Arabidopsis thaliana: one gene and its partners. The protein of the gene in region 4 interacts with the protein of the main gene of each other region in a pairwise test. Each region holds a gene or a part of one and is shown on either strand. Other genes may lie near its edges.

What was found.
Region 1: the proteins of LUL1 (region 4) and GDU6 interact in a two-hybrid assay, tested with the Arabidopsis thaliana proteins (one study listed by BioGRID).
Region 2: the proteins of LUL1 (region 4) and GDU2 interact in a two-hybrid assay, tested with the Arabidopsis thaliana proteins (one study listed by BioGRID).
Region 3: the proteins of LUL1 (region 4) and GDU4 interact in a two-hybrid assay, tested with the Arabidopsis thaliana proteins (one study listed by BioGRID).

The regions. Positions count from the first base shown.
Region 1 is NC_003074.8:12,349,070-12,354,241, reverse strand, and holds GDU6 (glutamine dumper 6), read right to left. Parts: upstream 1,771-5,172; 5' UTR 1,734-1,770; coding exon 1,398-1,733; 3' UTR 1,209-1,397; downstream 1-1,208. Other genes in the region: QQS (qua-quine starch), read right to left, coding at 4,516-4,677, 4,764-4,781. UniProt on the Arabidopsis thaliana protein: Probable subunit of an amino acid transporter involved in the regulation of the amino acid metabolism. Stimulates amino acid export by activating nonselective amino acid facilitators.
Region 2 is NC_003075.7:13,113,240-13,118,683, reverse strand, and holds GDU2 (glutamine dumper 2), read right to left. Parts: upstream 2,657-5,444; 5' UTR 2,536-2,656; coding exon 2,146-2,535; 3' UTR 1,729-2,145; downstream 1-1,728. Other genes in the region: AT4G25770 (alpha/beta-Hydrolases superfamily protein), read left to right, coding at 21-76, 174-226, 313-436, 614-795. UniProt on the Arabidopsis thaliana protein: Probable subunit of an amino acid transporter involved in the regulation of the amino acid metabolism. Stimulates amino acid export by activating nonselective amino acid facilitators.
Region 3 is NC_003071.7:10,555,790-10,561,455, reverse strand, and holds GDU4 (glutamine dumper 4), read right to left. Parts: upstream 2,284-5,666; 5' UTR 1,978-2,283; coding exon 1,507-1,977; 3' UTR 1,217-1,506; downstream 1-1,216. UniProt on the Arabidopsis thaliana protein: Probable subunit of an amino acid transporter involved in the regulation of the amino acid metabolism. Stimulates amino acid export by activating nonselective amino acid facilitators.
Region 4 is NC_003076.8:758,925-765,108, forward strand, and holds LUL1 (RING/U-box superfamily protein), read right to left. Parts: upstream 2,917-6,184; 5' UTR 2,744-2,916; coding exon 2,301-2,743; intron 2,184-2,300; coding exon 1,718-2,183; intron 1,631-1,717; coding exon 1,526-1,630; 3' UTR 1,395-1,525; downstream 1-1,394. Other genes in the region: CPUORF47 (peptide upstream protein), read left to right, coding at 1-1,224; AT5G03204 (uncharacterized protein), read right to left, coding at 3,363-3,473; DIP2 (E3 ubiquitin-protein ligase), read right to left, coding at 4,146-4,415. UniProt on the Arabidopsis thaliana protein: Acts as an E3 ubiquitin-protein ligase, or as part of E3 complex, which accepts ubiquitin from specific E2 ubiquitin-conjugating enzymes and then transfers it to substrates (in vitro).

The DNA of each region.
Region 1 (5,172 bases), on a different chromosome or scaffold from region 4:
TACAGGTGAAATTAATTAGATTGTTTAATTTCACTGAACGAGATTAGATGGTAGGACGGGTTTGAGTGAATAGTAATACGAGACGGTATATCACAGGTAAAATTTTAGATATAACAATCAAAATAAAATTATATTATCTTAAACCCTAAACAAAATAAAGAATATCAAAAAATAAAATAATTTAAATTTAAATTATTTTTATAATTTAGATTTTAACTTAATAAACAGTATGTTATTATTCTAATATTTTTAAACAGTAAAAATCAAACATAGCAATTTTATAGTAAAAATATATATAAATATAAAAATTGTATATTTAGATAATATAAAACATAAATTATATTTATTTTTAATTTATTAAACAAATTAAATATTTTATTTTAAAATCTAGTATATATGCATAAGCGCACAAATAAAGTGATCACACGAGAAAAGATGGCGACCACTTGAGAGCCACATAGTCCAAAAGTAAAAGATCACACTTTGGACCGTCCAATTCTTTGCGTTTTCAAGCCGCGGCGTCCACCAATAGCTGCCAATCAATGTGAAAGTTATCATTATGTGAATGAAATTAGAAAAGCCCACATTAAAATTTTACATACTTTTATCATTATTAATGCACATTACTTCTACTATTAATTAGAGTATACTAGTATTGTTGTTGTGAATTATTTATCATGTTCAAACCCTAAATATTGTTAATAATAATTTTTTCAATCGGTACATTAATTCCATAGTGATATTGATGACGTTTCAATATAATCATTCTACGATGAGTTAAAAATTTTTATCAAAGATTTGCAATTTCCGAACCCAAAGTATGCTCATCTACTTAGCTTTCTTTACAAACTGTTCAGACTTGGTGAAGATGGTGTCTTCTCCAACCGAATGGCCGGCGTTTTCAGTGTATTTGGAGGAGTTGCAAAGTGATAGGGAAGAATTCACAAATTTCTCTTTATCTTTAATTTCTCGTAGTGCAAATGTAAAAGCGGATAAGTTGGCACGAAAGATTCGTACCGTACCGCATCATGTCACGTATGTAAACAATATCCCTCGAGATTGACTCTTTTGAGTTCTAATTTATATCGGTTGACAAAAAAAAAAAAAAGTATGCTCATCTACTTTGTAAGTAAAGATCTAAAAATGATGTTTGAAAAATAAAATTCGTATGACAAATTAATATATCTTTAAATTTAAACATTGTACTAAAAAAAGAGAACAATAATTCATAAGCTGTTCCAAAAACAAACTCAACAAACAAAAGCAATAACACAAAACTTAATCTATACTAACATTGCCACAAAAATTATCGACTGTTACAAAATTGCCGCTGATTATTACAAAAGTCGAAATCTCTTAATCTTTCTGTCGGCAAAAGAAGAAAAAGATGTTAATGGTTAGGTTGAGATGACAGTAACATTGTCACAGTTACAACGAAAAATGGAAGTGGGTGGAGGAACCACGACCGGAACAGCCAAGCAAGTAGGTTTATTGTCTCCGGCCAAAATCACCACGATCTTAGGTAAGTACTCTCTTGTAATAGGCTTAGCGTCCTTGTCACCGACATCGTCTTCTTCATCCATATGATTGTTATTGCTAGAGGAAGAAGGTTTTTGGTGTGTGCAGACCAATGAGAGTAATGCCAAAGCTATAAGCAAAACAAGCAAAAAGAGACCACCAAAGAGATATGGTACTGGTGACTTCCAGATTTCTACTTTTGGTGTCGGCCTCATTATGATTTTTAGTAGTCTCTTTTTTCTTGTGTTGTAAGTGCAGCTATGGAATTTTAGTTATGGGCATTAAGGAATTTATAGTAGAAGGTTTGTACAAAATTGATATATAATTTTTAAATTAATTGATCACTAAGAAGTGTAGGCGTATTTTAGTTTAAAGTGAAGTAGGAAGATTCCTTGTGCGTTCAGATATTCTTTTCTTTTATTAACTATATCTGTTGTTGTTTATTGTTCATGTGTCATGTCATGACGACATTACATTAGTTCTTCTTACTTATTTTTTCCGACACTTGGAAATGGAAACAATGGTGTGCATGAACCAAGATATAAAAACGGTATACATGCATGCAAATGTTATTTTTTCGTTATTATAAATTAACATAAATATGTGAAAGTTCATTTAGGTATATATGAATGTTTTGAGTTTAAAACATTATGAAAAATAATTATTTCCAATATCTTAAAGTAAAGCTTAGCATTAGTTCTAAATATATAAAAAAAACTTGTAAATGTTAAAGGTATTTAGCGAAAAAAACATTATTACTTCTACACTATTTAGTTGTAGTGCCAAAAAATAAAATTAGATAATAAAGTATCTTTATCAAAAAAGAATTTCCAAAAAAACTTTCCCGCCAAAATGTTTTCGGGGAAATTTTTTTTGTCAAACTTTTTCCACCAAAAAAAAAAAATTCATGATTTACAAAATTAGGAAAGATTCTAAGCAATTAAGGAAGGTTTTCACAATATTCATAATTTTTATTTTTGTGTAGCCTTTTCTGAATTTTCTAAAATCTTTCCTGAATTTTGTAGAATCTTTCCTAAATTTTGTGAAATCCTTCCCGAATTTCGTAGTTACCTTCCTAAATTTTTTGGTGAGAAAATTTGACAATTTTTTTTTTGCGGGGGAAATATTTTCTTTTATTTATTTATTTTAATTAAATTAGTTATTTTATATTTAATATTTAATTAAAGTTAATAGTGCTCTTTGTGGAAGTTTTCAAAAGATATTCTATTTCTGAAAGAAAAACTTGTTCATTGCTATTTTTGTCAATTCCCCTAAAATATTTGATGTCTTTTTTATCTTAACGACTAATTTTAAAAAATAGATTTCTTAACTTTTTAAATTATGTGTAAAAATAAGTTTATATAACAGATGTTAGTCAACCGTTAATTCATATGATTCAACGGAACCAAACGACATTATGTTTGGTAGTTTGAGTAAAAACAGAAAACATGCAATGTCGTCTTTATAACTTTTGGGATTTAGGGACTTTGATTTCATTTAGTTATGTTCATTTTTTAAGCGGGACATAGAAGCATCGAGTAAATTTCATATTTGCTTTTGTCCACAAAAGGGAAGTCGTGAATGGGACTGTCATTTAATTTTTATTAAAAGTAGGGAAATGAACCAACCAAAAAATATATGTTCAATCGTTTTGTTAACCTTTGTCTCAAACCAAACGGTTTGGTTTGGTTTTGTTTGTTATACTATTACTTGTCACCCGAAAGTCTGAACCCAAATATGATATTGTTAACTCGATTAGTAAGACTGAAAAGCTTTGTAGACGTGGAAAGATGAACAAAGCTTAACTCGATTAGGGTTTTTGTAGTTTCAGCATGTATGCTGCAGCTGTCGGCTTCTCCAGAGCAGCTGGAGGAAGCTCCGGCGACAGAGGTTAAAGGCATACAAACTACATGGATTCAGGTAAGTCAGAAGGAGGATCTCAAAGAACATGGCCATCGATCTCAATGATCAAACTTCACAATGGAGGCATGCATCTAGCCAACGAGAATCTCCGTAGACTCAAAGGGTGGTGGGTCCAACAGTCAAAAAGTCATACGTTCAAGCAGCTCAAAAACATGTTTTTACTAAACAAAAGTTTGTGGTTGATGAAGTAGATGGTCAAGGGAGAGTTGTTGTCCCAAAAGAGGTTTTTGTAGGAGCTAAACCGTTATGGAAAGATTTTGTGATTGGCAAATTTCTCAATACAAAGGCTCCACATGTGGGTAACATTCACATGATTGTGAATAAAATATGGAGATTGGGAGACAAAACAAGTCTGATCGATGTTTTTGCAGTCAATGAAACGACAGTCAAGTTCTAGATTCGGAATGAGACTATGCGACAAAGAATTCACTACAGGAATTGTGAGTATCAATAGCACAGGAAAAACAATATTATAAGATATTATAGCGTTGTAGTAAACACTATGTATGCGCTTGTTATAGTAGGTCGAACACTTTATATAGCGGTTTGGGTTCTGCTATAAAAATTTCAACTAATATAGCGTTTTGTTGTGTGTTATTGTTAATTTTACAATAGCAATTACTATTTGCTATTAAATTGCGTAACTATAGCAGTACTTTAAATTTATAATAGCATTTAAATTATGTAATAATTGATAGTTTAAGGGTTGCTGAACAATAGCTTTCTTAGAGTATCCGTATAATTACTGTATTTAAGCGCTGGATATTGTATTTTAATACTGTAATTTATACTGTTTTTTATACCATATTTTATATTGTAATTTATACCGTATAATTACTGTATTTAGTCGTTGGATACTGTATTTAGAGTATCCATATAATTACTGTATTTTATGCCTTATTTTATACTATTTGGTGACTCTTTAACAAAAAAAAAGTATTTTACAAAGTATTTATATTGATATTAAGTCTAGTTGTAATGGGCATTAGAACAAAATAACCATTAAACAAGTTTACAGAGATATTAAATATTGGATACAATGGCCCTATAACTAATTTGTGATAAGGCCCAATATCAGTAGTTGTAGAACTGAAGCCCGACCCATGATATGACCCTCATTTTGAGCCTTGCGACACCTGATGTAGAAGTGTGAGGCAAAATGAACCTTTCAATGTCCATCAAATTCTGAATTGTTGAATTGTTTGGTTTGAAGCTTCTTTCAACGTAAATTTCCTGCTACAAAACGAAAGATTTAATCTCAGTAAACTAAAGAAAGTTAGTCGTTTGAATTACAAATAAGTTACTAATGGCTAATCGTTTACCTCTCTATTGGTCTTCATGAATCTAAGAACCAAACACCAACTGGTCGCTGAAATATAAGAATCATTCAATATACACAAAAGAAAATCAATGGTACTCGCATCTTATCAATATCACTCTGACGAATCGGAAATTATTTTTGAAAGGATGAAAAGAATATTACCTGTGGAGAAAATGAAGCATATAACACAACCCAGATCTTCTATAACCTGGAACAACAACAAGTATTAATCAGATTAAGAATAGACAAAGCGAGAAATAAGGAAAAAGGGATAAGGTTTGGGTACAGATCTAGATGTTTGATGAGAGGTAATGAGAGGAGGCTTCTTCAATGGCTGACCGTGTGAGTCTTGTTTCTTCTGATCTTCAATGGCTGACAGATCGAAAGGAGGTTTCTTCAATGGCTGACAG
Region 2 (5,444 bases), on a different chromosome or scaffold from region 4:
TCTTCTTATGACCTCAACAGATCAGCTTTAAATGCTTTCAAGCGTCGTGTGGCATATGCAAACGTGAATTTTGATTGTATCCTTCCCTGAAAAAAACATGTTTTTAAAGAGACTGTCAATGGTTTTTGATTATTTCTATCATTTACAAGAGTTTGCCTTAACTAATGAGAAAGCTATGGTTGGATGGAGGACATCTTCAATTCGCCGTCCAAATGAACTCCCAAAGGTATGTCTTTACTTATTATATTTTGTGCACATCTTTAATGACGTTGTGGGATTTATCAATAACTATTATCCCTGCTCATCTTCCAGCCAAATCTTCTAGCAACGGATCCAAACTATCCACACATTGTATACGTAGAACGTGGAAATGTGGACAATGGTAGTTGCCAGTCAACTTCTACAGTAGTAACAGAGCAAGATACTGATCTTGAAGGTTTTGCTTTATTTCTCACTTGACTATTTGTTTTTCAAAATTTGCTAGAAAAAATGATATCTCTATCAGATTTATGGAATGTGGTAGATCCTTGCCTCGCTATCTATTACCCATTGGTCTTCTTTATAACAAGTAGAATCACTAACTTCGTCCTGTTATGGTTTTTGTGAAATGTAGAGGAAATGATACATGGACTCAGTCAACTATCTTGGGAAAGAGTAGATGTCAGCTTTCACAATAGCAAGCAACGATACGTCGCGCATAGTACCATCCAGGCAAGTTTAATGATAAGAACTCAAAACTCAAAAGCGATTTTGTTAAGAGCATTTGACATAATTTTCCCTGTAATGTGTAGGTGAAAACATATTGGTTACATTCTGATGGCAAAGATGTTGTCTTCCACATGATGGATCATTTCGGTCTCTAGCCCTAAACATTTTCAACCGCTGCAATTAGTCAGCACTGTAAGAAGGCGATAAGCATCACAAACTTCTTCTCTTTTTTGTTGGTTATTTATATCGTATTTAGTATGATGCTTGATGCGATACAAATCGTGGTAAAGTTCTTGGCACTTTTTCCTTGATGGTTATTTAAAATGTTTTATAGTTCTGTCGAACAATGAATCTGTACAGATCTACCCGTTCTTTGTAAAAAAAAAAGGTTCATACTTCTCTTGTCACTATCGATTCTATAAGTTTTTGTTTTGATCATAAGACTTGGCGCCAGTTGAATGTCGATTTTTCCACAATTATTGTTGGTTTTCCAGTTTTATTGGCATCATTTGCGAGCTCGTTTGTTTTGACACGTTCACATAATAAACATAGTAGGAATTGGACAAGAAAACGAAAGGACGTAAACACATGACACAACCAGTGACCAATTGCCCATACTAGAAAAACAATTATTCAGTTAGTTGCAGTAGTCTCCATCCATTATATGTGTCACTGTTCACATTGTACTGATCATCCAAAAGACGACAATTTATTGTCCAACGATAAACGATAATGCTTTCAATTTCAGTGAATGGTAAACAATGATAAATGGATATGCCTGGAAAAGAAAAAAAGAGAGAAATGTATAGTTGAGAGGCTATTTGTTCTTTGATAAAACTTGATGATATTTAGTAATATATCTAGAAATTTAGGAATAAAGGTACAAAGAGAATAATTCTCAACTTCGGTTCGCCACAACGAATTAGCTTAATATTCGGCATGCGTCATTGTTGGCACATCACTAGAAGTTTTCACAACACATCTCTTTCCCTCTTTCGTAAGCATCATGTCTGTACATCTCTCACTGGGAAAACATTTTTGTCTCTCTATACACGAAAACTGAATTAAGGACGCACGATTTTAGTTGTATCTTTTATTTATTTTGTCTGTCAAGCTTCAGTTCTATCTTTAATCGCTAGTCCAAAACAATCATCTATTCAAACTCTTAAAATTTACATGTACCGGATATTCCTTCATGAACCATAAACGGGAAAAATTTGAAGAAAACTGAGACAACCAAAAAAAAACTAAAACCATACGAAATAAATAAAACTCTAATTTATATCCCATCAGCTCACGTAAGGTTGGCGTAATTATGAACCGACACAAAAAGACCGGACGGATCGATTCCGGAGTACTCCGTAACGAATGCTCTGTTTTCAAAATATGAGGGAGGGCTCACCGTAACCTCCGGTGCTCTGCTATACCACCTGATCACTACCCTCTTCTTCCTTCTTCTTCGTTATGATCGCCGCAAGTACAGCTTTGCTCAGACCGAGTCGCTGGCGTAGCCAAGTAAGTAGGTCTGACATCACCGGCCATTATGACGAGAAACTTCTCCGGCATTTCTGTGTGCTTAGTTTTGTTGGTGTCATTGTCGGGTTTGGCATCATCTCCGGCCTCAAGATCTCTCTCAGCGGAGCCGGAGAGTCTCCAGTAGGAACATGCGAGGATGAGAAGAGCGACGCAGATGAGAGCCAACATGGCGGCCAAACCACCGAAGAGATAAGGAACCGGAGAGTGCCAAGGCGAGTGAGGCACCACCATGGAGGAGCTCGCGTTTATGCTGTCTTGGTAATTATATTGTCGTCCTTCCATTGTCTGCATGTGTGTTTTACTGTTTGGGAAGAGTGAATGAAATGAAAGTTTTCTTTGTTAAAAAAGTAATTAATTTATTGGTGGGAGATGAGATTGTGTTGTGAGAGGCGTTTTATAGAGGAACGTATGGGATGGATTGTTTCTTAATGCAATGGATTTGTGTATGGTTCAGTTTTCAGTATTTTTTTGGAATGTATGAAAAAAGTCAGTATTCATTATTTGTACTTTGTAGAGTGAGTATTAACGAAATTATTTTTTAGGGAATCATCTTCCATAATGGAGTAAACAATTGATTGGTTTTTGATATAGAGATGTAGTTTTTTTTTGCATTTATACTTACATGAATAATTTTTTAATCAACCTCAAAAATGATATTAGTTTAACGTGGTGGCTCAATGAAGACATTTGTAAAATCATGTATATTTCCTTCTTTTGGATGTTAATTTGAACTTGTATTAAGTTGGTTTTCTTATTTTTTTCATAATTGTTTTGTTTAATATATCCGTCTTTAGTACTTTAATAAAGTTTAAATTTTTATTGGTGGCTTTTAATTAATAGTATCTTTTAAATGCAATAATGGATAGAGGTTAATTAAAGTTAAGAATTATTTAATAATCTTGTTACGGCAATTTGCACATTAACCTAACTGTTGAACTAACTAACCTCTTTGTTTTGGCTAATCAGTTTTTATTACTTTGCTTAATTAGGTTAAACTCAAGATTTAATATCATTTAGGAGTTTCAACTCAAAACTATTTTCAATGCCATTTATACACTATATATGGAGTTCTTAACAATATGTATAAAACTGTAAGAACTATATACAGTAAAGGGTATTTAAAAAACTTCTGGTTAGATAAAGTAATAGAGCGAGTAGTGCAATTGGAGGGGTAGGTTCTCAGCGTCAGCTTCCACCATGACTAAAGGAAAAACGGATATTCCATTAGTTTCCAATCACTTTCACTTACGTTCTCCATTTCCACATTCTTCCTCTTCCATTTTCTTTAATTTCTTCATTCGTACTTTAAGATCATTGTTTAATGTGTCCACTAGTATTACAGTAAGCAATAATATATCATTACGTCAACTAAAAGGAATTTCTAAGGCAGAACCTTTTTTAAAGCATCCAAACCCCCAAACAATGTTATGTGCGGTTAATATGCCAACACAATCACTAGTCGCTTACATTAATCTTTGGAGATAAGTTTTACTTTTAAATCCCCTCACTGTGTATATATTAGTTTTAAATTATTATGTGTGTGGGCTGTATAATTTATTCCCTGATCCGACTTAAATTCCGGATTTGATTTGTGTTTGTGCATGAATCATAGGGAATCATATTCTCGTTAAATAGGCACGTTACATGTGAAGATAATGTATAAAATAAATACATATACCTAGGAACCCATTATTTAGTTTCTCGAACAAACAGATTAAGTACGATAATTAAATATTGGAGTTCTATTCTTCTTCCTTTCCGGTAATTATTCTGCCAGACCAATTAGAATCGGTATGTTGATTGTTGAAAAGATTGATTGATGGGTGCTTCATTTTGTGCTTGGTTAACAATCAGAATACTTGCCCTCTTTACTTTTATTTCTTTTGAAATTTCCTAAGAAATCGTTTTCGGTGTTGAAAGAATTAACAAAGGTTCCAAATATCTCAACTTCTCAAGTCAGAGATTAGCTTTCATGTAGTTTTTCAAATTGTGTTTATTTCTTCATCTAATTACTTTTAAAGGTGGCTCGTTCAGTTTTTTTCAGAACTTATCTCCGTACATTCTAAAACTCATTTTTAGTTATCAAGATATTTTTCTTTCTCTTTAGATACGGATTAGTGAACTTGAGATAGGTATATCTAATTTAAATAGACAGCTTTATAGAGCTATGATGACACTTTTAAAAACTGATAGATATGCAACAAATATCATTATTGCATGCCTCACAGTTCACACATGTTATTTGAAGTTTGAACATTAAGTCATAAACAACAGTTTAATTACAATAAAATAATCAACATTTGCTAGCAAGAAAAAGAGAAGATATGGTAATAAAAATAAGGTTTATTGAAAGAAAAGATGAGAAAAGGAGATGAAAGTACAATAATTGTATATATCGTCAACCATGGCGACATGATCATATACATACATGTTTAAAATAATTTTGGAAAGTGTAAAAGCAAGTGTCTAAGGAAGTGTTATGCACTAATAGAAGTATAGGACGGTATCTAGTGAGAAGAAACAAAGAGTAAAGATACAAAAAAAACAGAGTGATTAACATTTCCTACATATATTCTATAGTTTTTTTTTTGGAATATGTTGTAACAGTTATGACATGATTCATGTGGAAGCTGCTACAAAAAAGTGGAGGAACGAGAGGGAATAGTAATAAAGCAGAAAGGGGTGTTTCTTTGAGAGAGTACATTTGTGAACGAGGACCAGCCTTTGTGGGACCTAAGAGTGGAGGGTGGTTCAGCTTTTAGCCGAGACGTCCTCATCGCCCAGCACCCTGGTCTGGTCCATCCTCCTCCACTGTCGCCTGTCGGCCTTCATTACTCTTTAACTTACCCACACACATTCTTTTCACTTTTCAGTTTTGGGTCTGTTCTTGCAGTTATGATATATACGGCATGGTATATTTATCTTGTGACATTGCAAGTTGCTTTTCACACATTTTTTTCAATATTGATCCACATTCAAATGGGCTTATTTCTGATTTCCTAATGTCAATTTTCTTCTGTTTAGCCCTGCACTCTGTTCTTGTTTTTGTACCCGTTAAGGGGCTTTGAAACAACATGCTACTTTTTATTATGTGTAGAAATTTAGGAAAAACACAACATGAGATACGGATATATTGATGGCCAAAGAAAGTGAAGAGAATGCTTTATTAGTATAACAAACTATATAAACATATCACATAT
Region 3 (5,666 bases), on a different chromosome or scaffold from region 4:
TTTCTCTTATGCAGCTCTTTCGATTCAGAGAACAAACGTTTTCAATTAATTAGCTACTACTAATGGACAAATATTAGTTATATAATTTTTTCACCTTTGTTGAAATCAGTGGATTATCTAGCCTGTGGATTATAATTTCAGTGGACTAATTAGCGACGAAAATATAAATTTTAACAAACAAATATATTAAAACAGAAAAAAACATTTGTGGTGAATAAAATTAAAATTCTAAATGACATTCCATTTACGATAATTTAAAACGGAAAATAATATTTATATTACTACATATGTATGTGTGTAATTGAACTACGCAAATGAGTTTATTAGGATTTTTAATGATTTTTACAAAAAATTACTTAAGTGATCGTATATTAGTAGCTGGGAAAAAGACCCCAATATAAAAAAATAGAAATAAGTTGTAAAATGTTTTTGATTGAGGATTATACAAACCTTAAGTTTTAGACGTTTGTTTGGAGTGCACTTCACTTCAAAATACTTAATAACGTGAGAACAGAAGAAAATTTGGTCATGTAACAAGACTCTTGTTGATGGGATATTATCAAATTGAAAGTAAAGCAGGCAAATGGGGCAAGTAATCGAATTATCTTTTGATTTATACCATAATATGTGTTTCCAATTTTTGTTTAATGAAAAAAAGAATATGATTCCTTTTCTTGTGACAAGACTAACTCACGCACATATTTTCGAATATTACGAATGTAAGTTCATAGTTAATAGTAATACTATTTCCAGTTTATTCACTCGTTATATAACAAGTATAGTTAAACAAGTATAGTTAAAATTTGACGGTGAACTAGATGGAGTCTCAATTAATTTAAAATATCCAAGTTGATAGCAAATTCAGAACTATCCTATGGTAAATAAAATATATAAATGCAAGGAAAATATGAAAGTAACACAAATACATGGAGGAGACACAATTATAACAATTCATAATTAAAGTAACTAAACGAATCTCCTTACAAAATATAAAATGTGAGAATATATACGTAATACAAAAGGGTTAATGCATTACATTAGTTTCTGAAAATGTATATAAAATTACAGTTTGTGTACGGGATGAATCACGTTTCCATCGAAACATTGCAAGCTTTGAATTTATGATCAATAGTGTTATGATACTTTTTTTTTTTTTTTTGGGCAAACATAGTGTTATGATACTATGATTCATTTTTTTGTAGATCTTAGTGATGACATAAAATTGTAAGAATTTTAAGTACTATTATGTTATTCCGTTTTAGTTTACTCTATTACTGATTGGTATTAAAGCTGTATGAGAAAGGTTACCTATCACACTTTTGAGAATTACAAAAACTAAAAACGAGTTTTCCACCATTGGGGATAGGAAATTACAAGCAAACATTCATTAATCATAACCCAAAATTTTCTCTCAGTAAATTTTACATTTCCCGTGAAAACACGAAGGAAAATTCCCCAACAAAAAAAAAAAGACAAGACTGAGAGAAGAAAAGAAAACAAAAAAGCTCACTGACTCGTTGTTTCTTCATTTTCTTTGGCTTTCTCTCTGTCTCCCATTTTCTCCTCTCCAGCACCAATACCATCCTCCTTGAAAATTACCATTCTACCCTCGTGACCGCACATGCATTTGTTCGCCGCCGGCGTGGCCAGAAACCTCGGCAAGTCATCTCCGGCCATTATGACAAGAACCTTCTCCTCGCACGCCGCGCTAGCCGCCTTCACTCCAGACCGACTCTCTTTTTCCTCGTCGACTCTTTCGCCGGAGTCATCACCGGAGGTTGACAAGCGCCAGTAAGAGCAGGCTAGGATAAGTAAAGCGAAGGCTATGAGGCCTAACATCGCCGCAAGACCACCGAATAGGTACGGCACCGGTGAGTGCCACGGCGATATCGGCGGTCGGTGATTCCCAAATGATTCTACTGATGTGGCATGTCTAGCTACATCTAACGATGTTGGTTTAATGCTCAATGGCCTCATTTTTTTTATGTTTCTTCTGTTTCTCTCAGATTTTTTCTAACTATTTTGTTTTTTTTGTTTTTCTAACTTTATATAAAGGAAAAAGTGAAGAAAGCTGGAAAGATGAATGAAACAATGGGTGTGGTGAGGTGTTATATTTATAGGTAAGAAGTCCCTGGGGAAAAAGAAAGTGAGTCACTCCGAATATTTAATTATTTGAATTAAAGCAGCTTTTTTTTTCATTTGCCGTTTATTACTTTTTAGTTTTGCCGCATATATTTGCATGCAATATTATGTACTCAAACTTACTTTGTTATAGACACATATATATGTTAAGGTGCTTGTTTTTTTAAAGAAAGATAGCGAACATTAATTACACAAATTTAAACTAGACACGATAAATTAAATTTTAGTATCTTTAAGAAACTACACTAAAAAAAACTTGAAAAATGCCTACAAGAACTACCGCAGATTGGTTTAAAATTTTTGCTTAACGGTTGTTGAAAAATATATAAATGGTGATTTTTAAAATCAAAAAAAGGATATCAATCATAATATTTACCAATAAATTTGAAACCATATGAACTTTGACATCAATCAACTACACAAACTACAATAATTGGGTATTAGACTTATAAGTCTTATATCCAATAATATGTCAGTGATAGCATGATATCGAGAAAGTTTTTGGAAAGACAAGGGGTTTCCTCTTGATGACTCTAAGATACTTTAAGCCAAATAGATCAATTTAGATAGATGAATAGTTTGGTTTCTGGAAGTGACAGAGGAATGAGAGTGAGAGATGGATTCCAAGACCCCTTACTCTCAGTTCTAATTTATGGCACGATATCTATCTTCTTGTGAGGACACACTATGATGCCTAATGGGGATTTTATTTTTTTGGGATCCCGCAAATTGGGAATCCAACTTCTCTCTTTCTTTTTGGATGAAGAAATTTTCTATCTCTCAATTTTTCTATATCTAAAAGTATTATAAAGTCTATCACTTAATATTTGTCATGTTATAGGTTTTAAATGGTAACACATTCTCAAAGCGATATAACTTGTACTATTTTGAGAGTTATCATTCGCAAAAATTAACTTTATCAAAAACATTACAAAAAGTTTTACTCTTAACTTTACTGTACAGCTTTCTCGTATAATTCTTTTGTACAACTTTGCACTATTCCAAAAAAAGTTTTGGTTATAGCTAACAGCTAAAATTTTGTACAGTTTTGTGTTACCAATCGGACTTATATAAAATAAAATAATCTCGAGTAGTCCAAACACAATTTTCAACTTAACATATCACCAAACTTTGCTTGAATTCAATAATTCTCCTTTTTTTTTTGCAAAGTAAATTATTTAATGTTTTACAATAATAATGAATATTAAAATCTGCACCATAACACATGGCTTAAAAAAAATCATGACTTAATATCGGTAGAATATTGTTAGTCATTATTGTTTAGAAAAACATATTTAGGGCAATAAAGATTTGGAATTGTTAGTTATAAAAGACTAACAAATTCAAAAATTTATTACCCTAAATATATATTTTGAATTATTTTAATTATTACAAATAAATTGATTTGATATTAAAATATATATGTTTTTGATTAATTGTTATTAATTTAAGAAAGTTAATTTAGTAATTTTACATATTAAAAATATATTTTTAAAAGAAAAATAAAGAAAAAAAATTTCAAAAGTGCAAATAAAAGTCATATGTGGGATTTTTTTTTTTTTTTTTTTCCAATTGTTACTATCACACCAACTACCGTGCACCAGGTGCACTACCTCAATAATCCATAAAGCTGTCATCATATTAAAATGTAGTGATCAGGTGCAAATTTGTGCCCCAAATGTTATAAACTTTTTCTTTTCTTTTTGTTAAAAGAATTAAGTTTATATTTTTTCACAGGTTCCATTTTAAAGGACCATGTCTGTTTTTCAAACTAAATTCTTACAAATATATAAGAAAGCATATTTTGGAATCATCTATGTATTCACATTGCGAACTAAAGAAGAGAAAAACTTAATACTTATTTTCTGTTACCCTTGAAACATAGGCGTTTATACCATTAAAATGGCAGAAAAATTATATCGACTAATGAAATTAAACTAGTTAAATGAAGTCCAGTTAACTAATCGAAGTTACCGAACATAAAGGGTTCTTATTTTTGTCAAAAACATAAAGAGTTCAAACCTTCAAATTTATAGCGTAGTTTTCTCTCGGTCCATTTTTTAGTCAAGAAAACTTTTGATCCAACTACAAAAATTTACTTTTAAAGAAATTATTTATCGAAAACATTAACTCAGTAATAAACAAGTTTATCTTAAGTCTTTGTAAAAAATGCATACAGAATATCTATAGCGTAGTTTACTCTCAGTCTATCTCTAGTCAACAAAACTTTTGATCGATCAGTTCCAAATATTCACTTTTGAACGAATCATTTATCCAAAAACATTAACTCAGTAAATAAACTAGTTTAACTCAAGTCTTTCTAAAAAATGCTTTAAAATGCATATCAGTGTTCGAAGTAGTTTAATATATATGTTGACAAAAGATGAAGAGCAGTTTAATTTTATACAATATATATTTTTAAGAATTTTTACCTTTTCCCGCAAAATCTGTGATGATTATAGAGGCCCACAAAGATATTAGTGCGACATAAGGCACAGTGAAAGAGCACATTTGCTTTGGTGGTAAATGACAATGTTTGCACAATTATAAGAGAGACAGAAATGATTGGGAAAGGACGAGAGGGAATGAGCATTGTGGGGTAAAGTCCCAACAAACCTCTTTGTGCATCTTGTCTTCATTTTCCATTTTCTCGATTGGTGCATTGATGTGATCTAAATGCTTATCTTTCTCCTCTGGTATTCGGTGATTTCGTTTTCGCATCATATGATATGGATAACATTAATAAATATCTTGTGTTGTTTGTATGCTTCGACTGTTTATGCATAATCTTTTGAAGAACATTTTATTTCTATTGAAAGATGCATCATTGCCAAAATTTTACATGGTTTCCATTGTTTGTTTGTGTTAGCGCTTCCATTTACATTTAACTTTATATATACTTTTATATAATCGACAATCTTAAAGCATATTAAACATTTTACAGATTCTCTTTGATACATTTTTGCAGTTAGGTTTGATGTATATGATCCTCCAGTCATTAGGTTAGATGCATTTATAATGGATTTGTATGATGAAATTGTGTTTAGAATTATTGTTTGGGCTTGTTGGTATGTTATGTTTTTAAAGTTAAGATCGGATTTCTAACTTCTGCTTAATTAGTTTTGTTCTTTTATACATTTTGCACCATATTTTGCTTTTTTTTTTCTTCCTGTAAATCTCATCATATATTACATTTTGTTAGTGCGGTCATATATACATTTTTTTTCTTTCATATAAACTATAAATTTTAATAAAATGGTGTTTAATAATAATGAAATGTATCATTTGCCTTCTTTAGAATAAGGGGCAAATATACATATATATATATATATATATATATATATATATATATTTATCGAGCAATTTGTTAAAAAATAAAATACGTCAACCACCTGAAGAGAAAAGAAATGTCAATAGGTAAACTTAATATTAATAATATTAGTCGATTGGCATTTTTCGAATCATTTTAAGTTTTAACTGCCGATATCCCGATACTATGAGTTTGATTTGCTGTACTGTCATAA
Region 4 (6,184 bases):
TTTGGTGATCATGGAGCAGTGGATTTGGTCGATCTCGGCCGATTTGTTATTCCAGGACCGAAATTGTTCTTCCATAAGCTCGTTCAACCATTCTGGGGTAAAATTGAGACAGAGAAGTATCCACAAGTGGTAATTGCTGATCTCGTTGATGAGCTCATGGGGTTAAAGCTATTGCATTATGATGCTAAGATTCTCTGCATTGGTCAGGGATCGGATTCTGCTGTTTCAGGGTTCAAAGAGATGGGTTTCTCAGTTGTTCAAGGGGTTCCTAAGCATCCATTGTTTTCCTTTTTCAGTAGGAAGCATGTCAACGAGCTTGAGCTTAGTGGTGACAAGTCTTTTGATTTCGTGCTCTGTGGGGATGTTGATCATGTTGCTTCCCCTGCTCTTCTTGTGCTTGAGATGGAGCGGGTTCTGAAGCCTGGTGGAACCGGAGCAGTCCTTGTGAGTACTAATGCCAATCGTCTTGTCAAATCCGTGACTTCGGGGCTTAAGCAGTCTGAGATAGTGCGTGTGAACAACTTGGATAAGTTCACCGTCATTGTATTCAAGAGGAATGTAACGGAGACTGCTTATTGTATTGGAAAGTCTCAGCTACCAAGAGATTGCAAATCTGTTGACACCAATAGACCTTACACAGAGTTCATGGAACCTCTACTGGAGCAAAAGCCTGCTGATTTCCCAAAATCAGTAGCTTACTTACCTAAATTCCTTGATCTCTCTCTGAAAAAGAGCCTTGTCTACATTGACATTGGAGCAGCCGAGCACATGGATGCTAATTTAACTCCAAACTGGTTCTTTCCGTTATACCCACTCGACAGCAAAGCATTCAATGTCTACTTTGTCGACCACAACACTTCAGTAATGCTATCCTATGTCAAGAAACCCGGCGTCACCTTTGTTTACCATCCGGATTTGGCTGAGAACAACTCGACAGGGAAAAAGATAACTCCGCTTGAACAGCTAGAACCATTTCCAGAAGATGAGAGATTCGATTTCCTTGCTTGGTTTGAGGAAACTGCGAAATACGCAGACTTTGTAGTCCTTAAGATGAACACAAACCAAGTGGAAATGAAGTTCCTAACTGTTTTACTGGAAACAGGAGTCATATGCTACGTGGATGAGCTTTTCCTCCGCTGTTCCAACCACAAGTCAGACTGCATCAACATGCTTCAAACTCTGAGAGCCAGAGGTGTGTTTGTTCATCAATGGTGGGAAGACTAAACCAATGTAAAACTCAATCTCGCTTCGCCTTAGTCTTATCTACGTCGATTCGTGTCTGTCTTTGTCTCAGTTGTAATGCCATCACCTTCTGTGTTTGCCATAGTTGGTCCTCGGCCACCACAGCTCCTGGCCAAGCACCTATAACTAAATAAGAAGCTGCCTATCTGTTTATCATTGCTATTTAAGAACTCAGTTTCCACTTATAATATATTGAACCATAACGTTTTACGTCTTAATTAAGCATGGCATATATTACACAAGTCGATTGCTTAACTAAATTTGTTCATTCTCCATCTCCATTTCATCCGTTCTTGTTAATCTCCAAAAGCATCTCAACAGGTTGTCTGCAAACTGGGCACAGATTTGTCTGAAACCTTAACGCCTTTGCGCACCCGCTACACATACACTGCCAAACAGAAATACACAAACCATTTCAAAAGAAGTTCAATTTTTTTTTTATATGAGCTAATTTTAAGTATGATGAACACTATACCATGTGTCTGCAAGGAAGAACAGTTGTATCGCGTGGTTCAGACAAGCATACAACACATTCCTTTCCCTCATCGGAACCATCAACCGTGTTCTCAATCCCATAAATCTCAAGCAGCTCATACCTCCTCTTATTCACCCATAGTATCTGCTTCACCACTTCTATTTTAATCTCTCCTTTCTCCTTGGTATACACCACTTGAGTAATCTGCACATTGGTGGAACCAGACTTTCCTTCTTCCGCTGGAGTTGCCTCCGCCTTAACCGCCAACGGGAAGACATCTGTATCCACCTCCTTGAATAGCTCGGAATCTTTAAACGCCGTCAAGTCTATACCCGTTCCAGATGATTGTATGAACTTCTGACCAAGTCCTTCTCCGAAATCAAAAGTGATTGGAGGCAAAGTATCTTCCTTTGTAGCTCTAAGATTACATTCTGCATCTTCTGTAGCAAAGAAAACAACTGTGATCCTGTTCTCGCCAACCAAAACAACAAAAGCTAAGTCATTTATATTACTCCATTGATTGATTCAAACAAGATTCAAACTTTTAACTAAATTTGATCATTTCATAGTTTGAAAGTAAAACCTTCCGGGCATGGATGCATCAAATGTGAAGGAGACAAGAAGTCGATTCGGATTCTCCGGGTCGGGTATGAGCGTTAAAGTCTTCTTCTTCAGATTAACATCGTTACGAATCGTGACGGCTTTCTGGTGGACGTACGTAGGAGGCGGCAGTATAGGGTATCTACCGCCGTGAAACAAAGGATGAGGTAGTTGGTAACTGTTGGGAGGATAGTGATGCAAATGGTTGAAATTGTACGGTAGCATCGGCGGCTCAGTTACTGGCGGAGGAAGGCAGTTACCTGGATACTGGTCAACGTAGTTAGGGTTAGGGTTCAGATATGGTGGCACGGCGGCGAATACAAATCTGTTCGGTGGGAGTTCAAGAGGAGCCGTTTCCATCGCCGGAGGAATATTGCTCCTCTGCCTTCTCCCGCAGCAGAAGATCAAACTGATCAGATTCCCCATGATCGGAAAAAGAAAAAAGGTGAGGTTTTTCGGTGATTCAGTTGATAAGGAGTAGAATCGAAGTAGGTTTTATGATCATTGAGAAAGGGGAGTAATGAGATTGGAGATAGCGACGTCGACGAAGAAACACCAAAACGTTTATTTGTATATATTATAAATTAGTATTAAACTTGATTAATTACCATGGGAAATTGATTATTACTTTTAATCACATAAAACAAAGAAATCATTATCAGTAGCACTAGGCAGGCAATAGGCCCAAGGCCTCACAACAATATCACGGTTACAAAATAAGAAGAAACGAAATGACAAAACCGGAGACACGAGATTGGTTTTGGAGGTTGATCGGAAAACAAAGAAACACATCCATTAATACCGGCGATTACAAGAAGCACTGCTCGTCATTAAGAAACATCTTGCACTGATCGTCATTAAGAAACATCTTCTCTTATGTCTGATTATATAGGAGATCATAATAACGTCGATAAAAAAGAGTTTAAAGTGGAAATCAACCAAGAAATAGAAAGCACTATCAAGATATATTTCAAAATGAATATTTCATTAAAATGGATTAAAAAATAATTAAACACTCGAGTTTTGATCTTGTCTTGTTAAAATTTTACTCATCGTGTTCCTCATAAATTGTCCCCAGCGAAGGCGAAGCTGAAACCCTCATCGGATAAACAAGAATCGCCGGTACAGTTTCGAATGGTCCGATCATCCTAGCCATGATTTGTAAATATACTCTTTCTTCGATTTAGACTTCGGCAGCTTTCGACTGTGTTGAGAAGATCTATGTGGAAATTATTGTTATTGCTGATATTTATAGAGATAGAGAGGAATAGTAGTAGTGTAATTAACTAATCATCAAGTGATCTTTATATATTTGTATACTTTTTTATAGGACGCAGCTTAATACTTATCGCACGTGATATTTATGTTTCATATTTAGGTGATGCTCGAAAGTTGAAACATAAGTATGCGTACACTGCTTTAGTTTGCAGATAAATCATACATGTCTTTATTAAAAATTAATGTAAATTAGATTCTTTTGGTTGAGAAAATGATCGCACCAAACAGAAATAGCGGTGAGACTGGTTTCAGGTTTAAGTTTGGTTTGATATTTGAAGATACTGATTTTTTGTCGTGGACCGGTTATCGTCCCGGTTCGGTTAGAAAGTATATTAAGATTTGTCTTTAATTACCAACTCGTGAGCATATAACAACAGATCACCGAGCGTACAAGATGTGAAAGTTGAATGAAAATTTCACAAAGAACTGAGATTTGATTGTACAAAAGATACAATACAAAATCTCATCTTATACAGTTATAGAAAAAACAACAACAACAACAAGAGTCTATCTTAAACCCAAGACCGAGTAACAAAATGATCATTACAATTTACACGTCCTCGTTTTCTTGTTCTTGATTGTCTTCTTCGGTCTCTCCGCCTTCTAAAATCGTCTCAAGAATCGGAGAAACCGATGGCTTCGCCGGAGAAATGATTTGTGGAGGAACAGCCTCCATCCACCACGCCACATCCACCACCACCGTCAGATTCTGATCGCACCGATTATCAAAGAAACACATATTCGCTTCACTAGATATTATTTTAGATTTGCGGAAGTAATTCAAATTGTTACTTTTTGAGTTGAATTGATACGTGTTCATTTGTTCGTATTTATAGAGAGATTGACGCGTGGAGATATGTGGAACAATGATGGGTTTGACGTAAGAGTCGGACAAGTGGACGATCCACAATGTTTAAGTTAGTTTGTTGACTTGGTCTTATTTGCTAATAATAATGAAACCAACACGAATATTCTAGAACCTCTTGTTGTCGTCATTATCAACAAGTCTCGAATGTGCAACACGTGTGAGCTCTTGTCTCACACGTCTATATCTCCGCTAAGATTTTTTTTTGTTGTTGTCAATGTTAGGATATTTCTTTATGCGTCGTATATTGCAAAATACTAGACACACACTTAGGGTTTGAAGTTTCTCAGCAATTGTGTGGGTACGCTTTGGACAAATACACTACTCTACAAATTAGTTTAGACCGCGTTTGACTCGGTAACGTTAGAAGCAGATTAGACACTAATTAGGCCCAAGTTAAACTATCATGGGCTCATTCGTAAACTTAGTTCTAATGGGCTCTCAACATCAGATCTTAATATTTATAGAGAGCATGAGGTCAAATGCGTAGTTCCGTATATGAGAATTATGAAACTGAACCCATAAGCATTTTAATCACGCTGAGGAAAGTAGCCACTTCTCGTTTAACTAATACGGTAATACCTCATTCTGCCTGTTTTATTGATTTGTTTGGATATTTTGGTGCAATTCGATTAAAAATGTACCTAGAAAACAAAATTAAAATTGAGAAAATAAAAAACGTACCAATTGATAGAAAAAAAGATTATTGTACGCTGAAAAAGTAGAAAGAACTAGATAATTTTTAGTGATGACAAAAACGAAAATCTTCTTTGTGAACTTAAATCGCTGGAAAACATGCCATATGCAGAGTTAATCAAAACATTATTAGCAATCAATTGATATATGTATATATAAATATAAGATGCCTTAGCTTTTTCTTATATATATAATTAGGTTAATTAGAAAATAAGTCAATGGCCTGAAAAGGATTGGATAAGATAAGGATATTTGAAAGGTTGCTTTCATTCTTCTTGCAATTTCCCCCTTATTTTAGTTTTCTTAGCTTATAGAATTCATCCCTCATTTTCCGTCATTTGATATTATAACATAAGATGCATGAGGACGACAAAAATAGAAATAATAAGTGAATAGGTAGGTATACCATGTACTTGTCACTAGACGATTCGATATTTTACATAGAGATTAATCTATTTCTAGGGAATTATTGGCACCTTATGATCGAACATGTCACCTAAAAAAAGTGAGCTTATCACATCGCATAAGTTTTGCAAAAATATTCTTAAACTAATTTTTTAATGTATGTCAGAATAATGTTTCATCAATCGAGAATATGGATTAGAGATATAATTCACTAGCAAAATTTTACAAACGGATTCTTTTTTCTTTTTTTTTTGATAACCGAAATTGATATATGCTTGTATAGGGTGGTCGAAGCTAAGGTCTACCATAGTTAATTGCTAATTTAATTATTATTAGTTGTAAAACACACAAGATGACATCATTATTTGATCTAACACAATAAAAATAGAATTAGGCAAATGAAAATCGGTTTAGTAAACGACAAATCAACAATGTCATGTGTTTTGTTTTCTGATTTTGGTTCAATTTAATTATTTCAAAATAATTTTCTTGATATCCAAAGATCCATTTTTAATTCTTTTATGAGAGAGGTTAGAGCTTTTACCCTCAAAGGCCTCGAAGCTATTTTTTATTTTTATTTTTTTTTGTAATGTGTCATTTTTAGGAGTCCATTTTTCGAACAT